3 linked regions of the Oryzias latipes genome follow. The protein of the gene in region 2 purifies or fractionates together with the protein of the main gene of each other region. This does not show direct contact. Links are inferred from orthologs where the notes say so. Each region holds a gene or a part of one and is shown on either strand. Other genes may lie near its edges.

Evidence for each region.
Region 1: the proteins of fbxw2 (region 2) and cul1 purify together in Homo sapiens (affinity purification with western blotting; 13 studies listed by BioGRID and IntAct, with this or other methods). This does not show direct contact. The link is inferred for Oryzias latipes from reciprocal best matches to the Homo sapiens genes FBXW2 and CUL1.
Region 3: the proteins of fbxw2 (region 2) and hsp90ab1 purify together in Homo sapiens (affinity purification with mass spectrometry; 3 studies listed by BioGRID and IntAct, with this or other methods). This does not show direct contact. The link is inferred for Oryzias latipes from reciprocal best matches to the Homo sapiens genes FBXW2 and HSP90AB1.

Annotation. Positions count from the first base shown.
Region 1 is NC_019878.2:3,231,672-3,235,324, reverse strand, and holds part of cul1 (cullin-1), read right to left. Parts: intron 1,339-3,653; 5' UTR 1,100-1,338; coding exon 957-1,099; intron 1-956. UniProt on the Homo sapiens protein: Core component of multiple cullin-RING-based SCF (SKP1-CUL1-F-box protein) E3 ubiquitin-protein ligase complexes, which mediate the ubiquitination of proteins involved in cell cycle progression, signal transduction and transcription.
Region 2 is NC_019870.2:24,496,741-24,500,493, forward strand, and holds the start of fbxw2 (F-box/WD repeat-containing protein 2), read right to left. Parts: upstream 2,326-3,753; 5' UTR 2,070-2,325; intron 1,680-2,069; 5' UTR 1,625-1,679; intron 1-1,624. UniProt on the Homo sapiens protein: Substrate-recognition component of the SCF (SKP1-CUL1-F-box protein)-type E3 ubiquitin ligase complex.
Region 3 is NC_019882.2:5,881,763-5,885,515, forward strand, and holds the start of hsp90ab1 (heat shock protein HSP 90-beta), read left to right. Parts: upstream 1-1,582; coding exon 1,583-1,732; intron 1,733-1,813; coding exon 1,814-2,020; intron 2,021-2,123; coding exon 2,124-2,283; intron 2,284-2,371; coding exon 2,372-2,505; intron 2,506-2,586; coding exon 2,587-2,889; intron 2,890-2,959; coding exon 2,960-3,125; intron 3,126-3,205; coding exon 3,206-3,396; intron 3,397-3,585; coding exon 3,586-3,733; intron 3,734-3,753. UniProt on the Homo sapiens protein: Molecular chaperone that promotes the maturation, structural maintenance and proper regulation of specific target proteins involved for instance in cell cycle control and signal transduction. Undergoes a functional cycle linked to its ATPase activity.

The sequences.
Region 1 (3,653 bases), on a different chromosome or scaffold from region 2:
ACACTTCAACTCATGGGCAAGGTGGGAATCGAACCTGCAACCTTACGATCATGGTCTACCGCTGCACCATGGCCGCCCGCCCGCAATCATCTATTTTCTGCACATCAAATATGGAGAAAAATGGAGCTTCTAAAGACCCACTCCAATAATAATTGTGTTTTTGGCGTTCTTAACATGTTCTTGTAGCGTTTTTTCTCATGATGGAGGACATATTTAAAGAGTTTAAGATTAAACTGTGTTTCTGTCCATTTCTTTATTGAAATCGTGATGATCAGGAGCAGATAAAAAAAGCTTTAAAAAAGCTTAGAGTTGTGACATATCAACTGAAATGGGCGAGCCAAAGTCTCCCTGCTCTGCTCCATTCTGCAGCATTCACTTGCAGACAGATGTTATCATGAACGTCTTTGTTCTCATCTGAGCTGGAATCCAGATCTAAGCTGTACGGCTGGATAGCTTCAATATTGCAGCCATTTTTGTTGCTACGCTAATGCTAGCGGGGTTTTAAGAGGCGGTAAGCTAGTGGGAAAGTGTAAATAAAGGAATGATGGGATACCAGCGTGGAGTCTCTCTGCACCAACAGCCACGCCCACAACTCAGAGGGGATTTTTATAATGAACTCTTGCGGCTCTACAGACTCTATGTCTTAAAACGACACAGGTTTTTGATGTAGGCTAAAAAGGGCATAATCATAATTGAAAGACCACTAGGAACACTTTTGCAACAGATTAAGATGTAGTTGGAGTGGGACTTTAAAGCAAAACTTGACTAAGTTTTCTTCTACTAAAACAGGCAAATTACGGTTTGAAAAAGTGACGATTACTGCATGAAAACAGATCCTGGATTTTGGTGTTCATAGAAACTTGCTGATACTAACATCTCTAGAGTTGAAGCTGGTAAGAAAACCACCAGCTTTCCCCAATAAACCCAAATGCAGACCCCACTAAATCCCAGGATACGTGTAGAGTTCCATGTAGCGTGACTTGGGCATGCTTTGCCGCGTGTACACCTTCTGGATGCCAGCACGCAGGTCGTCCCATATCTGGTCCAGGCCTATCTGTTTCAGTCCGTGTGGGTTCTGGGTCCTGTTTGTAGACATCATAAAGCCCCTGTCCTTTCCTTTCCCAACCAATGCCCTCCTTTTCCTGCTCCAGTGAGCGTTATGCCCCCCCAGCCGGTTTTAGTCCTGAATCCTTGGATCCTCAGAGTTTGCAGTCCATCTGGCAGCAGCAGCAGAGCTTCAGGAAGCTGGTTGTCAGTGCTCTGATGGGATGCAGTCCCTTGCTGCACGCCCAGGTGGCGCTGTCTGCCCTCCTCCCTTTGCACACTTCACCAGATGACCTACGAAGGAAAGAAATGCTTGAATTACTTTGGACACACAACTTAAAGCAGATTTTATTCAGAACCAATTCACATCACAGAATCAAAAAGCACCGACGATGTTTCAGATTTCCTTCTACGGTATTGACTTAAGTCATTAGTGCAGCAGCTGATGTGTATTTACCTGCCGAAACCTGGCTCTGAGCCCTGCAGGCCAACAGCGACCTGACGTCAGTCAGTTAAAGACAGATTAGTCCACTTCTGCGTCTCCCCGACTTCCTCAAAACCATTGCCCACACTAACCAGCATAACCCACTGTTTACATCCCAGTGTAGTTACAGCACAGTAACACCAGCAGGTTAGCTGTACCAGCTCAAGGAAAATGTGTTCAAACCCCATCTATAACATGGAGGGGGGGGGGGGCACTAATTCTGAAAAACCAGAAGTGACCCATAACGGGCGGCTGACCAATCAAACGGACCAAACCCTTCATTTCTGCCACCAAACACTTGGGTGGTTCTCAGGGCACATGATGACTGCAAAAGCATGAAAGGTGTGGTTCACAGTGGCACTGATGACAGCCACATTTAATGATATCCTAAAGCTTTAATTTAGTGTTGACAGGATATAGGGAGTCCAGAATAAATGCCATCAGCATCTGTCACAGAGATGGTGGGACTAAAACACCTAGAAGACGGACAGCAGTCTCACAGGGGGAAAAAAAAGAGCAAAAACTGGGAAAGCGCAAACAAAAAAAGTGACAAACTACCGGTACATTAGTTAAAAGCCAAGTTCCATGATCGGGGTTTGGGCTGAGGTACCCGCCCAAACCACATTACACCAGCTCCCCTTTAATCTATCCTGCAGGTGGTGGGCCCACACGGGAGTGATGCCACTTTGTCTCTACAGGATGAACCCCACTGCGACCAGTTGGAAGAGCCCCGGCCACCAAGCGCACGCCTGCAAGCCCCAACTCTAGGCCTGGCCCCAGGGTGAGGCCCTGGTGACCCCAATCCTGGCGTCATAACCTCTCTTGATGCTTAGTACTTATGAAGGAGGTTCTGAATTGCTCTTTGTCTTGGCCTGTCTGCCCACCAGGGGTATAAGCCCCAGACATCTTAGATCGTGGGATCACTCAAGCTCTCAAAGCCCATCACCACGCTAAGGTAGTGGTTCATTGATCGAGAGTAGCAAGTTGAGGTGGCTTGGGGATCTGGTCCGTATGCCTCCTGGGTGCCTCCCTGGGGAGGTGTTCCGGGCATGTCCCACTGGGGGAGACTATGGGGAAGACCAGGGACACGCTGGAGAGACGTCATCTCTCAGCTGACCTGAGAACGTCTCGGAGAGGATCAGGAGGAAAGTGGCCTGAGGGAGTAAAGTCTGGGCATCTTTGCTTAGCCTGCTGCCCCTGTGACCCGGTCCCGAATGAGCAGAAAAGGATGGATGGCTGGACAATGATTTAAAGAAAAAAACTTGCAGCAGCCACACTTTGAAAGTTTTGTGAAACAGATTTTTTGTCCTTCATTCAAAACATAACAATTGCCACTTAACATTCCCACAATATAAATAAGCAACTGCATAGGAAGGAAGTCATTTCTTTGCATCTGTCTATGATGCCAGATCAAAACATCAACATGTCTGTTTGTAAAGCAGCAGTGAGGATGTCTATGCGTGTTAACACTCCAATCTCATCATTTCCTTAAACATAAAAAGACAAAGCTATTGCTTCACTACAGCTGATCATAATTGGCGTTAATAACCTGCATGTGTGGCATCAGGAGAAATGTATTATTCACCCACAAGTGAACATATTCATAGATGTAAGTTCAGTTATTTATTAATTAGGGTGAGACCTTCTGCATGGATCAGAAAGCCTCTTAATATTTAGTAAAAACATCAAATATAAGAAAATAAGAGCGTTCATGCTGTTGAGATCACTGTATATTTTGTTTGTATGAAAGCAGGTCAATGAGACGTTCAGTCAAGAAGATGAGGAACTATAATGGAGATATTTACAGGACAAGGCTTCAAAAATATGAGAAAACATCAGTGAAATGTAACTGTGTGGATGAGAGCATTGAACCTCACTATGTTGATGTTTGCGTTCACAATTATTGGTGCTGAAAACTCAGTAACCTTGAAATGTTGCTGTGTGAAAGCAGCCTAACAGTGTGCAGAAGGCAGGTGGATGAGTAAAACTGCTGTGTACATGTAGGCAGCGTTGCTATATTTGGAAGTACCAGGAGGCAATGCCGGTCTCTGGCCATTCCCAGCCATTAGGGCTGGAGACTCGGGACATGTGACACAAATGGAGGAGGGGGGAGGTTGCAGGAGCT
Region 2 (3,753 bases):
CGTAAGCCGGCTAAACAAAGTTGTAAAAAATTTGGAGAAAAGAATTCAACAAAATCAGTTTCAAAAACATCTTAAGAGAAAAGTGTGTTTGCCATTTTGTTGAGGTGTCTGAATCTACAATTCCAAAAGACAGTGCCCTGCAAATGTCCGATAAGTCTCTGCAAAAAACTAGTGCCCATCGATGCTCCCTAGATTGGGAACTATAGACCACAATGCATTGTGTTTTTTAACGATTTGTCATTTGAAAAAATGTGATAAATTAATTTTTTTATGAATCATCCAAGTTTCCATCATCAGAACATAGTGGACTCATAAATAGATTTTGTAAAATGTTCATATGTATTAGATCGTACTTCAAATGGGTGATGTCATAATGGCATTGGGGGGAAAAAGGGGTCCAAATTACTTTTAAAATCCAGGGCACAACATAGTCTGAACTATATAGTCTTTTAGTAGTTAAGGAGGGGTGAGGGAATTCAGACAAAGCCTTAGATCAAATTTAACTTCACACATTTCAAGTTGTGAGTGCTTGAGGTTGAGACAAATGAATTAGGGGTTGTTCAGAACTGTTCTTTGATATTAAAGACTCACTCCAATGAAAATTCTGTTTTTGGCATTTTTCACATGTTCTTATGGAAGTTTCCTCTTGATGGAAGACATATATATAAAAGAATTTAAGATTAAAACTGTGTTTCTGAGTATTTCTTTATTTAAATCTGGATAAATCATGAGCGGATGAAAAAATGCTGTTTGAAAAAGATTCTCTTTTGTGACGCAGCAACTGAAATGGCCGGACAAAAGTCTCCCATAAATCATAATCAAAAGACCACTGGGGATGATTACATTCTCTGAACCTGTTTGGGGTCACGGGGTCGCTGAGGCAAAAGCGGGATCCACCCGGGACAGGTAGCTAGTCTGTTGCAGGGGGACAGAAACAAACATCACATACACTCACCTCCCTCAGGTGTGAATACCTGAGGAACGTCTTTTTGGACTGTGGGAGGAAGCTGGAGAAAACTCACGCATACATGAGAAGAGGATGCAAACTCTGATAGAACCCAGCTGGGATTCGAACCGGGGCTTCTCACTTTGATTTGAGAGTGCTAACTACCACACTTTGAACCCTAGAATTACTTTCATAAACAAGTCAATTTTGTGCAATTGCCTAAATCGATGACTGGACTAAACAAGAGGTCGTCTTGTGCCGTTAGTCCTCTACTATTCTGGAAAAGTTATACTTTTACCAAATATTCTAGGTGTGTAGGACGAAGCAAAAACAGAAAGAAAACAAATATATATTTAAGGAAAAGCACAACCTGGAATATAATGATAATTATTTGACATAAATGACAGTTACACCAGCCTTTAAAAAATCTTTTTGGACGGCTCCTGCTGGATTCTGTCGTCATTTCTTTTGGTCTCGCGCCCACAATTCGGTAGACTGAAGAACAGCTGGCTTCAAAGCACCGGTTTACCGCCCACAGAAACGCAGCAGTTCCTCGCGACGGACACTAGGGCGCCTGATCGTTAATGCGTGGCGAAGATATCAGACGTATTTGTTGGAACTAGGCGTGACAGTCACACATCTTGCGGACACCATCAGACGATATTAAATCCGTTTTACCTGTCTGCAACCCCGCCGGCTCTCAGTCACACGCCGTAGGCTGACGTCCGCAGTCCTGTCAGAGATAGGAAAACATGCTTTGTTACCTTGAACACAAGATTTCAAGATGAATACATTGATAGGACAAAAAAGGCTTTTAAGTTGTACTGTGGCGCGCGCATACACACCCTAGGTGCGCGCGCGCTTAAAATACCCTCAGCATTGTAGTCTCCTCACGGACTTATCTTAGACGACACTTGCAAGTATTTCTTAGTACATGTAGCTTATAAATGTAAGCACCATAGAAAAACACATTTAGCAGGGCTTGACGGACCTGTTACTCGTGCCGTCTATGCTAACCCAAAGCATGCATCATCTTAGATTCGGAACATCAAACCAAGCAAAAAAGGTTGTATACACCAGTCAATAAAAACACAAAACCATTCACATTTAAATTGACACGAACCAGTAAGTAGCGGATATATCCTTTCCCCAACGTCATGGTTATGTAGTAAATAGCGGAATAGCCACCGCAAAGCTAACCTGTCGGAACTTATTTCTACCACCATGTAACAACAACGTGGCGGTGTAGCTTTTACCAGCGAACCAACTTAACTGGTGCACTCAATTGCCTTCAATCTGATGTAAATGCTATAAATCTAACATTCCCCTTTCAATTATAGCGGCTGGTAAACGCTGGGCTAAAGAAGGTTGTCAGTTTCTGACAGCATGAATACCAGAAGATAATGGAAACGGATTCTACTGTCTGCGGGTAATGTTGAACCACAGTCATGTCTTACAGGCGCTGTCGCTTCTGCTTTAAGTGCTTTAAAAATAGTATTTTGTTCAACATTACTGATATGCACTGTACAAACTTATTTGTTTAATTTGGCAGTTTGTCCGACTCTATGTTTTCTATTATTATAATGATACCCACTTGACTGTAAGACAAAAAAACGGGTAAGGTTTTAGCCAAAGTCGACTCGCTTCCTGTGTAACGTTAAATATGGCACGTAGTGAAACATGTGAAATTTTCCAATCTGGCGCCGATTTACTAATGTGTGCTTTTTATTCTATAACACGGGTATACTTTTACTGTTTATTTATATACAAGATCAACTCAAAATATTCAAGGTCAGCAGTAAAAACGCCTAAAATTATTCTTTCTCTTTACATTTGTCAAATATAGGAACTGGAACCTAGGGAAATACAAAGGGCTACAACCAAAACTTCACATTAAGAATCACAAAAAAGAATGCACACATTTATTTCTGCAGGTTATTCATTAAAAGTAATTTTCTCCATTTACTGCTTACTCATAATCTGTTCTGTTTTTTCCCCCTCTCTGTTGGATGTGATAGCTTTTTTGAATATTTCTATGTCTCTATATCGGAAAACTCAAAACAATTTTACTCTTAACATTTTAAGTTTGTTTGTTCACTTTTCAGCATATCCATTAAGGGGTCACCATCAGCTTTCACTGATTTGCTCAGGGGGTTTGGCAGAGATTTTAACCCAGGTTGGGGACAGGCACAGAGGGACCCAGACTTGGTTAGGCGCCTAAGGCAAGACCCTTCACTTGATTGGCTTCTTTGTATTTATTGCAATGAAAGCAAAGCAGCAAACAACTGTTAAATAATCTAAAAAGGTTTGACCAATGCAAAAATTCTTTAGATCTTCAGGAAATTTATAGCACTAATTTGATTCTTTGCAGAAATGAAATATTAAAAAGGAATAAATCAAACATTCTGACCTGTCTAGGATAACCTCCTTCCCCCAACAGTAGTTGGGATAGGCTCCAGCAACTCACTACTATTACCCCAATTTAGCGAGTTCTGAAAATGGATGAACGGTAACATAATTTATTTAATGTTTTTACAATTACAGGTTAGTTCAAATTGATTCATTGAGGCCGACTTTCATTGCAATTCTCCAGGAATCAAGGGCCCATTAGAATATTGTCCTTCTTTGAATTGTGAGCCTATAGGCTCAGGGTCCCTTCAAGATGGATTGCACAAAAAGCTTTTCTTACCTGTATTGGACAGGACTTTAGTAAAAATTGAAAACAATATTAAACATTAAAACAAAAAAACAAACAAAAAAAGTGAAATAACCCATAAGAAAAAAACAAAAAACAAGGCTGCAACTAA
Region 3 (3,753 bases), on a different chromosome or scaffold from region 2:
ATCAAAATGAGGTACAGAGCGGCAGTTGTAATTTCTGTGGCAACCAATAGAATGCGAAGTCAGCATGTGACAACTCGGTGACGTCATGTTTAGGCGGGTTTTTCATGGAAAGTGCTAGAAGAAACGAAGCACTCCCCTTCGGTATTCTTCCATGTGATTACAAAGACCTAGAGTGTTCGTTGATTCCGTAAAAAATACAGCGTGCTTTTAATTTTTGACATCCAGATATAGAGATTCTATACAAATACTTTTTTTTTTCAACAAAATTTTGACACATTTTTAGAATTTAGACAATTACTAAACGGAAGCTCGTAGATGTAGTTTTTGCTGTATCTTAAATAACCGCTAGATGGCAGCAAAAATCAAATACGATTGATTTTATTCTTAGTTTTGTTTTTAATATAATAAATTTATAACGTTTAGATTTTACCTCCTTGGCCAATCAAAATATTGTGCATGCTATTCCACTATAACTTTTTATCTGTTGATATAAATAATTACATATTTTTCTGGAGGAGCACAGTTAGTTCGAGAAGGAGCGCCGCGGAGGGATCTTGTCCTGCACTGAAACTCATGAGCATATAGATTCGGCGTGCAGCTCCAGAATCCTCCTTTCTTTTTCCTGCGTCAGTGAGCGGCAGGGATAGCACTTTTGTTGCATTTTATTCAAGAAAAGCCAACATAAGAAACAAGGTATGTCTTGGTAATTCACTTCATATTGAGGGAAACCAAACTTTAAATGGTTTATTATTATTCTACACCGAATGTTGAGTCATTTAACGGGTTTTTTTGTTATTTGATTTCGATTCACGTGGTTTGTTTAACCTTGATTCATCGATTAAAAGCATTTCTGACATAGCGGGTTTACTATTCTTAATTAGTAATGGGCTTTAGGTTAAATCTTGTACTAGTGACCGAAAATAAGTGGTGGGCTTTTGCCGCATCTTGTAGGCAGACAGAAGGTATGGAGATTTATTATTGTGAAGGTTGGTTGTACCTGACTGTTTAAAGAATAACATTACCATAGTTTAACGAGCGATTGACGTGTCTTTGTGTATATTTTGCCAACGAAGGATTCTAGATGGACTACTAGTTTAGAATCTTACACCCAGAGTGTGTACATCATGTACATCTTGCATAACCGACACAGGAGTGCTCGTGGTTTTTCGGGGTGATGGTAGTTTTGGGGGCTATTTTTTTGCAGTAAAGCTCCTGAGCGATAATCCAAAATCGTTCGATCTTGATATTCACGGAAGCTTCGGGTTTTTTCGGTTTTAGTCGGCACGTGCTTGCAGCGTCCATTGTCCATGCCTCGCCGCCATGTTTCGCTGCACTTCCGCCCGTATGTTGTAATCTGATGGCAGGGATCCGACTCTGAACCGGTTTCTGAATTGTGGTAGTTTATGGTTTAAAATTATTCATTAAAAAAAATTAAACTAAAAACTACAATCTTAGTAAAATAATTGGCAGTTTATTACCGTATTTTGCGTATTTGTAAGATGTTGTGCTTTTATTTTGGCGTTTCCTGTTGGTTCATCCCATTATTAGTCTGACGCTGTTTGTTGCAAACCTGTTATTTCTTATGCAGATGCCTGAAGAAATGCACCAAGAGGAGGAGGCTGAGACCTTTGCCTTCCAGGCAGAGATTGCTCAGCTGATGTCCCTGATCATCAACACCTTTTATTCCAACAAAGAGATCTTCCTCAGGGAGCTGATCTCCAATGCCTCTGATGTAAGTCTGCAGCAGTTTACGTAACATCGTATCACCTCTGTGTCAATACAGTGAAATATCTTGACGCTGAATTATTTTTAGGCTCTGGACAAAATCCGCTATGAAAGCTTAACTGATCCCTCCAAGCTGGACAGCGGCAAGGATCTGAAAATCGACATCATCCCCAACAAGGCTGACCGCACCTTGACCATTGTTGACACTGGAATTGGCATGACCAAGGCTGACCTTATCAACAACCTGGGTACCATTGCAAAGTCTGGGACAAAGGCTTTCATGGAAGCCCTTCAGGTATTAATATAAACAGGCATAAAGGGGAAAAATACATATACACATTTATATATTTTTTTAGCAGAAGTGAATACAAATTGTGGAACTTTGCCGTTTTCTTCAGGCTGGAGCCGACATCTCCATGATTGGTCAGTTCGGTGTGGGATTTTACTCTGCCTACCTCGTCGCTGAGAGGGTGGTGGTTATCACCAAGCACAACGACGATGAACAGTACGCCTGGGAGTCCTCTGCTGGGGGATCCTTTACCGTCAAGGTCGACAGTGGTATGGATCTTCAAATATTATAATTATGGTGCAACAAACTAAAATCTGACTGTGAAACATTTGTTAACCTCTACAACACTGTTCTCAGGCGAGCCCATTGGCCGTGGAACAAAGATCATCCTGCACCTTAAAGAAGACCAAACGGAGTACATTGAGGAGAAGAGGGTCAAAGAGATCGTGAAGAAGCATTCTCAGTTCATCGGCTACCCCATCACCCTCTTTGTAAGTGATTTGTTTGTTTTTTTACAAACATATTTCTCACTAATAGAAGCTTATGTGGAGTTGTACGTGGTTTATCTATAGGTGGAGAAAGAACGTGACAAGGAGATCAGTGATGATGAGGCAGAGGAGGAAAAAGAAGAGAAGGAGACCAAGGAGGAAGGTGAGGACAAGCCAAAGATTGAGGATGTGGGCTCAGATGATGAAGAAGACGCTAAAGACAAGGGCAAGAAGAAGAAGAAGATCAAGGAGAAGTACATTGACCAGGAAGAGCTGAATAAGACCAAGCCCATCTGGACCAGAAACCCTGATGACATCACGAGTGAGGAGTACGGCGAGTTCTACAAGAGCCTCACAAACGACTGGGAGGATCACCTCGCTGTGAAGGTAAAATAGAGGTTTGGGTGTCTTCTGATCGGCTGATGGAACCTCGTGCTGACGTGTGTTTCTCTTTTAGCACTTTTCAGTGGAAGGTCAGCTGGAATTCAGGGCTCTGCTCTTTGTTCCTCGTCGTGCACCTTTTGACCTCTTTGAGAACAAGAAGAAGAAGAACAACATCAAGCTGTACGTCAGGAGAGTCTTCATCATGGACAACTGTGAAGAGCTCATCCCAGAGTACCTGAGTAAGTTTTAAATCTCTGTTCCACCGGATCTGAAAGGAAATGCACAGCAGCTTTAAAACGTTTTTGTTTGTTTACAACAGACTTCATCCGTGGAGTGGTGGACTCTGAAGACCTGCCCCTCAACATTTCAAGAGAAATGCTGCAGCAGAGCAAGATCTTGAAAGTAATCCGCAAAAACATTGTCAAGAAGTGCCTGGAGCTGTTCGGAGAGCTGGCAGAAGACAAAGAAAACTACAAGAAATTCTATGAAGGTTTCTCAAAGAACATCAAGGTATCTCAAACATATCTGAAGCTTTTCTAAATGATGCCTATAAACTGATGGATTTTTTTTTTCCTGTAAACTTTTAAGGTGTGAAAATAAATCGACACATATTTAGCGTGAAGCCTTGGAATTGGGCAACGCTTGCTGCATTACCCAGAATTTAGTTGAGTAAATCGATCACAACTTTTATGTTCACAGCTCGGCATCCATGAGGATTCTCAGAACCGTAAGAAGCTGTCTGAGCTGCTGCGCTACCACAGCTCCCAGTCTGGAGATGAAATGACTTCCCTCACAGAGTACCTTTCTCGCATGAAGGAGAACCAGAAATCCATTTACTACATCACTGGTAGGTTTGGCTTCCAGTCC